2 linked regions of the Tribolium castaneum genome follow. The protein of the gene in region 2 purifies or fractionates together with the protein of the main gene of each other region. This does not show direct contact. Links are inferred from orthologs where the notes say so. Each region holds a gene or a part of one and is shown on either strand. Other genes may lie near its edges.

What was found. The genes of interacting proteins can lie anywhere in the genome.
Region 1: the proteins of didum (region 2) and Mlc-c purify together in Drosophila melanogaster (affinity purification with mass spectrometry; 3 studies listed by BioGRID, with this or other methods). This does not show direct contact. The link is inferred for Tribolium castaneum from reciprocal best matches to the Drosophila melanogaster genes didum and Mlc-c.

Annotation. Positions count from the first base shown.
Region 1 is NC_087396.1:11,013,100-11,020,851, forward strand, and holds Mlc-c (myosin-2 essential light chain), read right to left. Parts: upstream 3,191-7,752; intron 2,888-3,190; 5' UTR 2,846-2,887; coding exon 2,797-2,845; intron 2,751-2,796; coding exon 2,338-2,750; 3' UTR 2,094-2,337; downstream 1-2,093. Other genes in the region: adenosine 5'-monophosphoramidase HINT1, read right to left, coding at 299-568, 618-728; dUTPase (deoxyuridine 5'-triphosphate nucleotidohydrolase), read right to left, coding at 1,066-1,122, 1,168-1,313, 1,362-1,734.
Region 2 is NC_087396.1:13,117,249-13,125,422, reverse strand, and holds part of didum (unconventional myosin-Va), read right to left. Parts: intron 6,552-8,174; coding exon 6,224-6,551; intron 3,787-6,223; coding exon 3,533-3,786; intron 3,481-3,532; coding exon 3,022-3,480; intron 2,973-3,021; coding exon 2,484-2,972; intron 2,440-2,483; coding exon 1,142-2,439; intron 1,093-1,141; coding exon 512-1,092; intron 458-511; coding exon 26-457; intron 1-25.

The DNA of each region.
Region 1 (7,752 bases), about 2.1 Mb from region 2:
ATTCGATGTCACATACCGTGATGTTTAGGTTTTATTTTGTAGTGTTTGTTACAAGTTTTTTAGCTGATCCATCTTGTGAATCACAATTGATGTTATAAGCTCATATTTGTACTATATTATTTCGTTTATTGCATAAGTATAGTTTGTATCTGGCAATTACCAAATTATATGCATTTTACTTGACGAAAAATATATAGCCGTTAATTTACTAAGTCTTGGTTTTATTTCTCCCAAACACAAAACCAGCACATACATGTAAATTACAAGCTAATTAAAACTGAATTAAAGCCACTGAGAGTTAGCCAGGGGGCCATTGGAGCTGTCTGCCGGACAAAACGTGCACGTGAATATGATACACAGACTGGGCCCCAATTGGGCCGTCATTGATCACAATACGAAAACCATTTTTCAAATTCCGTTTTTGGGCGATTTTCCGAGCGACGATTAGCAAGTGTCCTAGAAGAGGTCCATCGTTGTCTTCAGCCTTGGACAGCTGAGGGATAGGCTTGCGCGGAATCACCAAGAAATGGACGGGGGCTTGCGGGTTTATGTCGTCAAATGCAACGCACTAAAATGGCATTTTTACCTCAAAAAATCCAACAGTAGCTGACACCTACCAAGTTGTCTTCGTAAATAAAATTGCAAGGGATTTCTTTACGTAATATTTTCCCAAAAATTGTATCTCCCTCCGGCAAAGCCGTTTGGGCCAACTGCACTTCATTCGCCATTTTTCCGACAACCGGTGTCGGTAAGAAAATTACCTACATTATCGGAAAAATTTTCAAATTTTTGAAATTCTAACGCAAATCAACCAGAATTAATAAATTAAACTGTACCACTGCAGTCCTCTAAAACGGAAAGCTTAATTCCTTATTCCTCAATACTGTCCTTGATTTTTTCCATTTAATAAATCAGTATTTAAGAACTGATGACTGGTAGAGGTTAAGTCTCAAAAGACAAAAAAACACAAATTATGAAAGAAAGGGGTAAAACGATTTATTGAAACATAACCAGGAACACATATTTAACACAGAAAAGCTTGAGTTTCGAACAATACTTCTAAAATTAATTGGTACCGGTAGAGCCAAATCCGCCTTCTCCACGGGCCGTTTCACTGAGTTCCTGTAATTTAATCTAAGAAAACGTTTTTTCTGCCAAAAAACTTACTTGAACTTCCTCGATATCGGGGTAATAGATCCGCTCACAAATTAGCTGTGCAATGCGGTCGCCACTCTTGACTTCAAAGGCAGTATCTGAATGGTTGAATAGGACCACCTTGAGGACCCCCCTGTAGTCCTCATCCACGACCCCGGCTAAATTTCGCATCGTTATCACGCCCTCAACTAAAAAAACCAACTTACCGCCAACATCGATGAAATTCTTGACTGCTAGACCCGACCTAGGGGCGATCCGTCCGTAGCACCCTTCCGGGAGCTGGATTTTGATGCCGGTGTCCACGAGGGCCTTACCTCGGGCTGGGACCACGCAGTCGAAAGCACTCTTCAGATCATAACCGGCGGCTTTAACTGAACCTTTGGTCGGAGGGTAGGCCTCGGGGACCACTTTGGTGTATTTCAAGACAAGACTAGATGTAGGCATTTTCTTTTCTTCGGATTCTTGAGGGGTTGTTGAGTGGACGAAAGCACGAGACGGTTTGACGAAAAAGGCGCGAATTCGGCCCGCTAGCACTTCTTTGGCGCCAATTCTTAGCATCTGGCGCACAGCTACCGGCATCTTCCGCAAAAAGGCAGAAAAATTCGAAAAAAAGCGGCAAAGACGCGCTTCAAGGTGAGCATTTGTTTTTGCAAATTTGAGATAACGCCGAGGGACTGCAGGCTGATTTTGCCAATTTTACTTCAAACTCCTAACCTCACTTGTACGAAACGTATTTAAATAAATCCGTTATTAATCCCTTATTACACAATAGTTATTTAATACTTTGATTTAAGCACTTACAACTGACCAGTTACAGAAATTCACCTCACATGAAATAGGTTAGCAAAATTGCTTATTGGGTTATTGCGCAATATTTTTCCACTCCAAATTGGGATAAAATGCATTGTTTCAATCAGGTACGGATAAAAATAAAACAATTATGTGTATTATATACTTTTATTGGTTATTATGAACTCACATGCTCTTAACAACCTCAGTGAAAAATGGGTAAATTATTACAAATATTGGACCTATAAGTACAATGACTAATAAAATGCCTCTATACTATAATAAAATTGGAATGAAGGCACTATAAAACAGAAAAGTCATCAAAGTTAAAATATGGCTATAAATAAATTAGTTTAAATGCACCCCAAAAGATCTACCCTGGACTCCAACCGATTATCCGGACATAATCAACTTAACAAACTCTTCATAGTTAACATTTCCCTGTGAATCCTCTTGCCCTTGCAGCAGCTGCTCAACCTCGTCATCAGTCAGTTTCTCCCCAAGGGTGGTAAGCAGGTGTCGCAACTCCGCTGAACTAATGTACCCATTTCCGTCCTTATCGAAGTGGCGAAGCCCCTCAATAAAATCATCAGCCGTGTCGGCGCTCCTTGACTTAGAAATCTGTTGGTAGATGGGCAAGAAAACTTCGAAAGAAACCCTCTCGTCGGGCTTATGTTGATGGGTGTATTTTTTCACGTCGGACTCTGTGGGGTTTTGCCCCAAGGCCCTTAGCGCGTCCCCGATTTGCGACACGTGGATTTTGCCATCGCCCCTGTTGTCGAACAGTTGGAAGGCCTCTTGGAACTCTAAAATAGGCACAAATTTAGCTTTGCCAAGCTCACCACTAATTACCTTCGACTGAAGTTAGGGTTAGTTTACTGGGGGGTTCGTAAAGGTACATTGTGGGTTAATGCGGAGACTGCTGATGAACATCTGCGTTTTACTAAATGGGTTTGATGAAATCGTGGTCACTTTCAAAACAGTACCATATAAGGATGAAATTGGCAGTATGAATCATCGGTGTTGGGGGCTGGTTCATGCCCTACTATTTTTTGGTTTTGTGCGTTATTTGCATGTTTACTGGGGTTGAAAATTAAATGGAAGTGAGTGCACATGGTAAAAATGAGTTTATTTGAAAAAACTGTTGGGGAAATAGAGCGAAACTGTACAAATAAGACCGTGATATGTGTGAGGAAGAATGTAAGGCGGGGCTACATAGCCTAGTTTTGCACTTCTCTTTACTTACCGGCCATCTGGTCCTCTGTGTAGTTTGCCTGCAATAAAGCAAAGTGCTCGTTAATGACTTACACCACCAATACGCTGTTTCACAGCGAAATTTATTATTTTAAGTGAAATAACTTACCATGTTTGATTTGCATACACTGAATAACTGTCAAACGATACCAGTTGAATGCAATGATAAAACAGGCCACCAACAATACACCACGGCGCTCACTTTGAATTCTGGAATTTGGATTGATGCAACCGCGACAATTTTGAAATATCACCGATTTAATTAAATTTATGCAAAAAATGGTTTAGCTTCTTTGGCGTTCGTTTCATGGACATCCGGAAGCGCTCGAAATGTCGAAATGATGTGACTAAACCACATTTTCAAAGTAATTAAATCCATCATAAAGATACCTACAAGGTGAACAATATATGTACTGAATTCATGATCAGCCACGTGAACGAGCTGAAATGTCTTATGAAAGTATCGTAAAGTGCAATGTACACCTGAAAAAACGAACCTGAAGCGATCTGCTGAATAAAGATAAGTGTCGCATAATTTTGAATAATTACGCGAACCGCTCGAGTCTTGGACTGACGTCTCGTTGCTGATTGCAATGCTAATCATTTACAATAATTTACATTAAGCGTGTAAATATAGTTATTTTCGATAATTAGATTAACTGAATCGAAACCAAGGCAAAGTTCTCCAAAAACAATGTCAGATCGATGCTTAATTGGACAGGTTAATTGGGTAAAATTGGTAGCGGTCTATTTTAGGGAAGAATCGGTATGTCATGTGCGCTATTATGCAAATTAAATTTCCTGTGTATAGTAGCAATTGCCGCGTCGAAGTAAGCCATGGTCTTATGACCTTGATATTTCAATCAGAGCTGGAGGAAACGCTTAGAATGTGATCGTTTTCCCACGAAGGAGGAGGCGCCTGCATAATTCAAACGGTGCTCCACATATGAAACCTTTCTGTCCCACCTTTTTAATGTCTCTGAGTGCTTTTTTATTTCTACTCAATAAAATATTGGTTTCTTATTTTTATTTCTTTTAAAACAGCTATTTTTAATGAGGAGAGCGCTAACGTAAGTATTTATAAATATTTGCATCTTGAACCAAATACGAGCAAAATAAAAAATAAATTACTTAACTAGCTTTAATCAGGTAAGTACTGGATCTACTGGATTATTCAAAAATATACATTTCAGGCAGGGTGTAACATTTCGCACCTTATACACATGGTAATGTATGTATATTATTCAAGATTTTGACAATGCTACAAATTGTGGTAAATAATTTATTTAAAACTAAAATTGAAAATTTAACTGGCAAATTAAATAAACTATAATAAAAATAAACTATAATTTTATATTTAATAAAACAAAGGTGCGGGAAAATGAGTAATAAAAATAGAAAAATAAAATTCGACCCGCCTTATCGATGCAGATTGCAGTTTGATAAAAACGAGATCAACAAATTAAAAGGTGCATAAATTTGTATATCTATGAACCTGTTATGTAATTTTCTTCCTTTGGAATCGCCGTGTGCAGGAGTTTGCTTTATTATGCGGTTTAAATTTTAATTTGTGGTCGTTTGCGCCCATCCCTTCGCACGCCCTATTAAACAGGTGTGTGAGATATTTATGTAAAATGCATACGCACGTATAAAATTCGCGATCAAATGTCAGCAAACAGATTCTCATTATGACATGATAAAATCATTACAGCCGGCAGTGGCTTTAAAAGCGGAGTCAAGTTTAACCGGATAATAAAACGTAACAATCGCCATAACAGAGAACAAAATTTGAAAGACAAATAAAAGAAAAGGCAATGTCGGTGTCCTTTTCGCGGCCCTGCAGTCGAAGAAAGTCACTGACTGTTGCACTTTGCGAGTGTTGTAAATTATTCTTGCTGCAATATCGGTAGGAAATCGGTTTGGTTAGCCTTGTTTGGCAGGAGCCCACTCAGAAGGAGTAACTCCTAATGAAGGCGCCTTTTGTCTGGAATTTTACTTATATTGTATGGACTGGCGGATAAAATATGTGGGAAAAAAACTTGTTATAATGTAGAAAGTATTTCAGGGTCAGGATTTTTAATTATAAAGATTTGGCCATTATCAGAGCTGGGCCAAGCCCTTAACTTTTTTATTTTGTTTACAATGTTAATTTGCGACCGGTGCAAATTAAGATATTATCAATCTTGCGTTAGAAATTACCGAATTTTGGTAATTTTGCCCAGAAGCACGTCATTGACTTTGCTCTTGAACGGGGCACCTGTGCTACGACTGCCCACAATTAGTTTACAAAAGCCGGAATGATTTATGGGTTGTTTGAAATTGTTTTGATCCGGTATTAAGTTGTTTTAAATTAAATTAACAGAAGTAAAAGTGATTTTAAAAAGTACGTTAAATTCCTACGCCCATAGTTGATCTAATAGTACAATCAGCGGAGACAGTTCAGGGTCGTACTTATGCTTTTCCAATTAACCGGTAGCAAATTGCACAGGTTATTATTGCAGTCGAAAAGATTTACTTTAATTTGAATATTATCTGATTGATTTAGCACCGTCCAAAAATAATAATTTGTAAAAAGTGGACAGAATGTACTATTTATCTCAATTAGGATAATTTAGAGCTAATTGATGAATGATTAATGGATTCAGAATTTTATGGTTTAGAGATACCACTAACAAGGAACACCTGAAACTAGATACTGTCATTAAGTTATCGGCAATAATAATTTATCAGAATTTGTGTTTCTATCAATGTTAAGTAGCTGCTATACCAATAAAATTTAACATATTCTGACAAATTTCTTAATATTTATGTATGTTTATAGCGTTTATTGCAACATAATATCTGATTTTAGATTGCTGTTATTAGTGATTAAGCGGTGTTAAGATGATGGTTCTATAAACAATATTCTATTAAGAAATTGTGAGAGCGGTTATTAAGTTTTAAAGTGCTTTGAAGAGAAAGCTATATTTAGAAAAAATCAATATTATACGTAGAAGAGAGCATTATGGAAAAAAAGAAATAAAATTTCTACAAAATACTCTACTGAGAGAAATAAGCGAGATTAAAATGTTCGAAAAGTGAAACGTTTTAGAAACTTTTTATTTTGCAAAATAAATTCTTTCACAAATTCTAACGACACATTAACGACTTCTGAATGTTTCAAATTTCGGCATAAAATCACACATATTATATAAAATATTTTTAAATAATGAGGCAAAACCTGTTATAATTACTAACGGTGAATTTAATTTCGTAAGTAATTTGTAAAGAGACAATTTCACATTTTTGTCTAATTCAGTCAGTTGTACCTACACGTTTTTCCTACAGAACTCTTTTGAAATTATGACAATGTGAACTGATAGATTGCTAGAATACTAGAATTAATATAATAGTTTGATTTACATTAAAATTTCATTTAATTATTAACGTCTATTCGCATGCTTGTTTCCTCTGCTTTACAAGTTTTTTTGCCCTATTCTTACTGAGCTATGCACAAGTGCTTTGCATACATACATTTATCATCTTTGCAATCAGTAAGGTTGATCCCATTGTACCCACATTACATAGTGCACAAGTTAATAAAAGGGAGGTCATGAAGCACATTTTATAACTTACAAACATTACGTAAATAGTTAATTATGCGTATTACCAACAAAACATTTTATAAACACAAAATTTTAATAATTCTTTTCAAATTGTAGCATTAAATTAATTTAAAATATGCAATTAAAATATAATTACCCATGCAGAAAATTGACAGATCGACAAGATAACTAAATTGCGAAAGATTAAAATATTATATTTGAATTTGCGGTCAGATATACCAACGATAACACAAGCTATTGTTTGCACAAAAAAATAGGAATGCAGTTTTGCAACCTAAAATAGCAAAATCTTATAAAATCTTACGTTCATAAAATTTAAAAACGTATCTGTAAATCGGTGTAATAGTTTGTAAGCAATTTGTCACACATTGTATGCAAATTTGGATAACAAGAAGAAAACATTGTTTTAAAAATAAATATTTCGCACAAGCTGCTTGTAGGTGCAACGATTTAAAATTTCAATATTCATGCACAAATTTTGCATATCATAATTTTATGTTAATTACTTAACTGTAAATTAATTAGATAGCATTTGAAACGTAGAAAAGATTTAATTTATTTGATTTGGGTGTACTGATATTAATTTTGAGATCTGTAATGTTTTAAGTATTCCTTGAGATGTCAGCAACTATATTTGGTTTGTTCCCAAATCCAATTTCTGGTTATTTATTACAGGACGTAATATCGATATATTATTAATATTTTGACTGTTATTAACTCATAAAATATGATTTTAATCATATCATTCCCATTAAATTTTTTATTAGGTAAAATCTTATTATTGTGGCACTGTCCTTGTCGGAATTGCTGTTACATTTTTGAAAAGTTTATCAATTTAGCATCTGATGTCAGATGCAGTCACCCAGAAATCTAGTTTAAAATTTACACAAAGAATGTGCAAATTCAAATTCTTTTCTTTACAATAAGTAGGTTCGAACGAGTTTGTCAG
Region 2 (8,174 bases):
AATTTTTTAAATAAACAAAACTCACCTAATCGTGCATTTGAGTTCACGAGTGATTTCATGTTGTTAGTCTGGTCGGCCAAGACACTCTTGAGTTGGATTATTTCCTCAGTTTTTCGTTCCAGTTCGCTGTGTAATATTTGCATCTGTTCGTGTATTTTCGAACTGCCAGTTCCTTCAATAATGCTGTTTTGCAGTTCCATCAGTTGCGCCTTTAGGTTGCTGTTAACTAGTTCAAGTTCGGAGATTTTAATGGAATCTCGTGCCGCGTTTTCAGCCTTTTCGGTTCGTGGAGACATGTCCAACTCGTCTAGGCGTTTCTGCATTCGCAGTTTTTCACGCTCAACTTCGGCAAGTTTGTGCTGGAGTTTAAGGACCAAACCGACGTCAACTTTATTGTTTTCGGATTCATGTTTGGTGTCACTGCTACTTGTACTTGGTGTTTGACTATCTACATTTCCTAGAGGAGTAAAATAATAGATAATGAGATAAGATAAGAAACGTGTCAATTTACCTTCACATTTCCAGTCGATATTCTCAAGTTTTTCTCTTTGTGACGACGAAGTTGTGGTCGATCTCACGGAACCGTAACCGTGGTCTTCAGCAATATCGCTGTTGATAACAAAACTGTCAATGCTGCTAAGATCGCTCACATTTCTTCGGTGGGAACTTTGGTTTTGGCTCTGATTGTTCAACTGCTTCTCTAGTTCTTCGCAGTGTTGTTCCAAGCAATGGTACTCTTGTAAAAGCTTCTGGTAGGCTTCCCTATCACTATCTTGCTCATTCAAAATCAACATTTTCTCCTCTTCGAGTCGCACTTTGAGATTTTCTTCGGCTCCCTTCTGGTTCATTTTAACGATCTCGTTGATATTGTCTAGCTCTTTACGCAATTTGTTTGTTTCCTGCGTCCATAAATCACGCTGCTTTTGCGTTTCTTGTCGATATTTCTCATGTTCGTTAATCAAGTCAATTTTTTCGTCCCGTTCCAACTTAAGATCCTCCTTCAATTTATCAATGACTTTGTCTTTCTCAATCAGACGAGCGTTCAAGTTCTTAATTTCAGCCTCATTCGCTTTGAACGCCGTCAATTTATTCCTGAAAAAAAGCATTAGTAATAGTTCGACCCTAATACAAAAATCATTACTTCAGCTCGTTAACTCCGGCCTTATAAGTCATCAATTCCGCGTTTTGTTTCGTAATTTCGTCAATCTTTTGCTGCAAACTGATGATCTTGTTCTCCAAGCCTTTGTTAAGTTTCTTGACGTGTTCGATTGATCTTGCTTCGATTCTGAGTTTCTTGTATAATCTTCTAGCCAAAAAGCGGCGAATCGCAGCTTGGCATATGACGATTTTCCGCTTGTAAGCCAGGGCACTTCTCCGTGCTAAATACCCTCTTACATATCGCTGTATTACCAGAGCTTTGGCGTTGTACCGTAATTGCATGTACCGCCGTCTCGCTAAATACCCTCTGGCATACCTTTGAATGCCAGTCACACAGGCCTTCAGTCTTTGATATTGGACACGTTTCACCCATCCTCGAACATATCTCTGCAAAGTCTTTGCGGCTTTCTCGCGCCGCAAATTTTCGGCCAGTTTTCGGGCCAAATAACCCCGTCCATACCGTTGTATATTGATAGTGCAGCGCTTGATTCGGAGGTACTTTTTCCTCCAAATGAACGCCCGGATTGTTTTTTGCATCATGATGCAACAGGCTTTGAGTTTATCGGCTCTTAATTTCTCCAAATAGGCGACTTGTCCGGCCCGGAAAAAAATCTTAGTTTTCCCGAATTGAAACATATCCTTGTTTTTAATATACTGGTTCAGTATATTCTGGCAAGTGAGCTGCATGTCGTTTCTTTTGATATCTTTAAACTTGCACAAGACTCGGTACCGGTAGAAGAAATCAACGTAAGTCCACCGACTCGGAAACCCGGCTGCCGAAATCCTGATCGTCTCCAACACGCCACAAGCTCGCAGTTGTTGCACCGCCCGTTTCGGGTTATACTCAAACGGTTTTTTCGAATCGTTTGGCTTAATACACCGGACGTAATGCGGGGTTGTGGCGTTCAACGTGGTCATTAGCATATTAAGCGAGTCTCTAAACTGGGACCCCACCGATTTCTTGTGGGTTTTTTGCGAGGTTGGGGCAGGTTTGGCCGAGATCACTTTGAGTTTGGCTCCCGGAACGGCCAATTTTTGAGAATCGTCGCCGAAAAGCCGGCGGACTAGATCGTTTTTGCTCCTTTTCACCACCGAGATTTGCTCCTCGATTACGGTGTCGCGGTTTTTCTCCAGAAAACCGTTGCTTTCGTATTGGACTTTATCGGCAAAGTGATTGATGGTGAAGGCAGAAGTGCCGAAACGCGCCTTGCCGAAGTGGGAATACTTTGCGCACTTTGAGTACAGTTTCTCCGTCCAGGAACTGTCAGTACCTCGCGGCATCTGATTTTTTTATTAGTTTGTCTGGAATTTTTTAAACAACTTACCCGACACTCCTCGTCTAGCAAATCTAAAATCCCTAATTTTGTTTCGATGAGGTCGATGCAGGGTTGGTTGTCGTAGAAATCAATCATTTTCCATTCAATTCCTTCTTTAATGTATTCCTCCTGCTCCAGTTTAAACACGTGGAGGTTGAATTGTTGTTGGAGTTTTTCGTTGGCGTAATTGATACAAAATTGTTCAAAGGAATTGGTTTCGAAGGTTTCGAAACCGTAGATATCGAGGACTCCGATAAATTTATGTCTAGGAATGTCGGATTCTAAAGCTTTGTTTATAACTAACACGATCCAGTTGAACAATTCTGCATAAATGTGTTTTGCTAAAGCATCACGGGCAGCTTGCGCGTCTTCGACGGACATTGGTTTCAGGAAGACCTCTCTCATAGAGACGATTTTTCGGGTACAGAGCCACTGCTGCATTTCTTTTGAATCGATCTCGAGTAATTCCGCTAAGATTTTCAAATGTGAGTCAGTGCCCTACATCAGATTTGATTTTACATAATGCAAGTTTGCGGGAAGTGCTCACCAGTATGCTACAACCCTCCTGGTCTTGTTCGTTTTCCGTGGAAATGATCGATTCAACAAACTTGATATTTCCCAAATGCAAGACGGAGGCTATAATTTTAAACATATCGTCCAGATCCGATTTCTTAAACCCTAAAAGATTCAACGCATAGAGCGTCTCTTCGAAGGTTTGTAAATCGTCGACTCCGTCCACATTTGGACTTTCTCCTTGATTTAAATAATAAAAACTATCTTGGTGAGCGAGATGCAAGTGTGGAAATTGGTCTCTCGCGGAACACAATTGGTAGAAAATATGGTAATTCCGTTCATCGGGAGCCTGAAAGACGACTCGCGATTTTTCCAAGAGGTACGTTCTCATCGACGCTCCGCTAATATGAAATTGCTTATTAAACTGGAGTTCTATAAACTTTCCAAATCGCGAACTGTTATCGTTTCTTGTAGTTTTCGCGTTTCCGATGGCCTATGATTCAAAATGTAAATAACTAGGTTACCACTGTGTTTATCTTTATTACTTCCATGATAGGACTACTAGCTAGGACTTTTTTTTCGACTTGGGTTTCGGTCGCACTTCCTCCTACAGTCGCGAAGTATCTCATTGCGTATTTCGCGGAAACCGTTTTACCGGCTCCGCTTTCTCCTGATACGATTATGCTTTGGTCCCTTTGCTCTCTTTCTAGTTTCGTGTACGCTTCTTCGGCTACGGCGAATATGTGAGGATCTAGGTCACCCATCGCTTGACCTCTATACGTTTGTATGGTGTCGACGTCTAAAAGACACGATGATTGTGTGTGAAACGGTTTTTGCACACAACAGTGAACTGGTGAATTTTGGCCCAAAGACCATGAAAATGTGCCAGCGAGTTGCAATCACCATTGCGGTTAAATTATTCAGACCCAGAGGTCGTCCCGATGTGCTAAATTACTGACATTATACGCGATGGTAGTTTATAATTTATTGGCGTGAAATGGCTTTAAATTTCTTGTGCGAAAAGTTGTCTTGACTCTTGTACGAGACAAAGTGTGATTACAAGTATTTCAAAAATTAACAGGTCAAAGGTGGAGTTGATGAACTGCCATAGAGTCTTAGACCTTTAATGATCCTGCTTGTAAAACAGTCTGAAGAGAGAGTTGTGGCCTTTGGTTCCGCTTTTTTAAATTTAAATCAAACTTGTGACCTTTTTAAAATAATTAATCATCTTAGCAATAAAAATTAACGACATATACGGCCGTGCTTCTGCATACATTATTTTATTTCTAATTTAAATAAAAAAGTAAAGGAAATAAAGTAAACTGCAACAATAGTGCGAGCCAAGACGATTTAATAAATTATTCTTTCTTGTACAACCATGTCTCGTTTATTTTCATTTTTAAATCATTGCTTGTTGGAAGAAATAAGTGGGTATGATACAATATAGTATGGATTACTTGCATAAATTTGTGCACATGCAATACAAGTTATGCATGGCATATGCCAGGCTATAATTTTACTATCCTTGAAAGGCATCGAAAATGCCATCAATCTCTCATGGTTTTTACTAGTTCTGTTTAACAAACAAAATTTTGTAGCAAATTATTACTAACGTTGTTTTAATATCGTTGCGGTGTGTGCTGTTCCATTATTTTTATGTGTAGCTAAAAGATTAAATATCGTCTTACGATATGCACGATTTTTCTAATTTTGCGGTTATTTACTTACTCTCGTGTTTGCACAACATGAGTCATATTATTTATCGCAAATTGTAGGTGTTATCGCGGTGATAATAGCATGATATAAACAATGAGCGTTCGCTAATACCTTGACAATTTTAATTTCGTTATAAAACCGGTATTAAAGTCTATTACTGCAAAATGATTACAGGATGTGAGTAACTAATTTTGGTTCCCACCAGCATTTGACCGTTGGTGTAGTCCTAAATTATACCAATCTAATTGTAAATAGGAATAATCAAAAGATACAAGAAAAACAGATATAATGCCTCTGGTACACCTTAAAGTTTTAATTCCTGTTTCCCACAATTCATCGAGTGAATGTTTCACGAGTCTCAACTTTCAAATTTTTCGTAACATTTTAAGATTCGCGATATAGAAAGTAAAATCCCTATGAATACAATGGACCAAATTACAGAGTCTAGACGTTTTTGTGACATTTTATTTCTTTTAATTTTAATTGCTAATAATTTATTTTGAAGCGGTGGATTTTTACAGGGCGAATTTTTGTCACCTAATAGATAGTTTAAAATGGAGAAAGTCGACGACTTTTTTTAACTTTTGGCAGTTAGGTTGGTAGAAATAGTAAAAATGTGAAAAAATTAGTTCAAAGCTCGCAATTTAATATCGTTTTCACATGCATCGGCATGGATCGTTATAAAAAATTGTTTATTTTAATTAGTACGGTAAGTACGCTGTTTTTTATTCTACTTAATTTCCCAACCTTGATTTTAGTTCACGTGGGTGCAGCCAGTTTACTTTTAATAATAATTCTTTTACTCACTGACAGCGTATCTGATTTTACCTTTAGCCTTTTGGGTTTTAATAGTAGGACGAATAAATACAACTCGTACTAGGTACACGTAGGTTTTTCGATTTAAATTTTAATCAGTTATTTTTTCAAATTGCGTGAATTTGAAGCGACAAAATAAGTCATGCTCTGAATTGTAGTTTGTAGTATTCTTGCGGTTTCTCTGAAGACTCGCAACTTTGTAAATTGTTTGGGTTTTTCCTTCAAAACAAAGGAAACGGTCTTATTAGAATGTCACTTAAGACGTGAGAGGCCTTCTTGTAGTCACTGTTTCATAAGCTCGCAAATAGAAAAAGCATTGTTTGTTTTAATTAGTTGTTGTAATATAACGTCCAAACAAACCCCCACATTGCAGACGTAAAAATCAATATCAACAAACACTCGGTCAATATGCCTTCAGTTATGTGGGTCAATTTTCAATGAAAATAAATTAATAATAAAATTGTGTATGCAACATTGTTTATTTTAAAGTAGCCGTTAAAATCAACAAAGAATCACGGTATATTTATTTTTGTAGTAAACAGAAACTGTTTTTGTAGGTTTGCAAAAATACTGGCACAGATTCGCTAAATTCCATTTAATTAATAAATTCATTACGTATTCACGGACAGAAAAAATCCATTCATGCATATTTGTGTCAGGCAATTAGCACTTTTCCTCGTAACATAACGGTTTTAACAACTCACCATAAATAGGAAGATCATCGTAGGGATTAATTGCCACCAAAACAATCCCACAATAGGTGTAAATGTATCGATTTTGGCAGAACCGTACTTGTAAATTGTAAAGTACGGCGGGCTCGTGTAAGTAGGAGAGGGATGTAAGGTCATTTTCCCCGACTAAAATTGAAGGGTTCCTCAGACAGGGTAAATCCGATTCTGATTTGATCGTAAGGGTTTTCTTTTCGTTGTTTTCTGTTACTACTTCAAGTGACTTTTTGTTCGTTTTGTAGTCTTCTTCAAGTTCAGCGCCTTCCCATACTTTTTCAGGGTGAGGTATCCATACCTTGGCACCCTGAAATTAACACAATAATGTGATGATAAGCTCTAGACAAGATAAATGTTTATGAAGGAATGATTATCGAATGAATCATGGCAAAAATGGGTCTTTGACATCGAAACGGATGCTATCAATCGCCACTGTCAAGCCCTACATTTCGTTATTCCGCCGCAAATTGCATGAAAATGTTCCGTTCGAGCGACAATAATTCAATGTTCTTGAATGCTAAATTGGAAAAACAAACGAGATTACGTTTTACGGAATTTGTTTGAACTTTAGACGGCCAAGTTTGAGGACATAACGGTATTGTAACGAAATGTGTGCTTTCGTCATTGGAAATGTATGAAAGTAAAAAAATGTTTACCAGAGATAACTACAAAAGTGTGACCAAGCCTTAAATTTGCTATCGAGCAAAATAGATATTGCAAAAATAAAAAAGTTCCGTACATGGAAGTGATTTTTACAGTGTTCAACTTTCGATCATGATTTTTATAAAAGTCGCCGCACTCCCAACTGTTCAAAATAACAATATAACCAGTTGTTGGAAGTAATAGGTCGTACTTTCACTCTCAGATTCAGTTTGGTTAATTGGATTGTTATATAGTGCAGTCGGGAAAAAATTAAAAGCTTCATTTGCATGTTCAGTGAGACGAAAATGGCAACGGCAACATTTGTGGCATACCACACACAGGAAACAATAAATTTATGATCTTTTGTTTTTTGTAACAGGAGCAGAATTAATTTTTGTTACGTATTTTCATAATAAATCAATAGAAAATCGGTAACACCTTTTATGCTAAACCAAGGTTAATCGTAACTTAATCTCTAATTTATGAATTGGCGTAATGTTACTTTAGTAAATAAAAAAAAATTGGTGTATTTGCATCCCACGCCTAAATATCATATGTCCATTCAAGCGAAATTGTTTGGATTGTTTTTTCAATGATTATTACCTAAATTTATGGCACCAATTAATTTTCATAATACGCCGTATCCGTTATTGTTTCCACTACATGAATATGTTTCTGATTATTCAAATTAGAAACTAAAATTTGGGTATCTTCTGACTATGGGAAAACGATTTAATTTATCACATTATCATAAGCACTGCGGAAATCAACCCACTCTGACACAAATATTCAAATCCACTTAATTTTTGTCTAATCGCATAGCATAATTTTGATTTATTTTTGCAGTAACCAATAATAAACTTCACCGAAATGTCTCTAGATCCATTAAATTGGTGATAAAAAATCGAATTAAAGTTTAATTAATTTTTCGGAGCGTTAAAAGAGTGTTTACGATGTGAAGAAGACGTAATTATAACTAACGATGATCAAATTATTGATTTAGGTTTAATTGGAGCAATGAGGCCAATATGCCAGTTTTTGTAACTAAGTAGAATTAGATTATTGGAACCAATTAATTAATGAAACGTTACCATTCACTGCATGCATGAGAAAATTCCAAGATCTCAGATCACTCTCACTTTATTGCTGGCAACATCAATGGTCGTGGGTAATTTGAAAAAATGGTTACCTTGGAATAGGGTTAATTTATAGTTTCAAGTTTATCAGGTGTATTAAAGTGAAGTCTTTTTATGAGCTTCAAAAGGTAGTTTAATTATTTTACATCGTT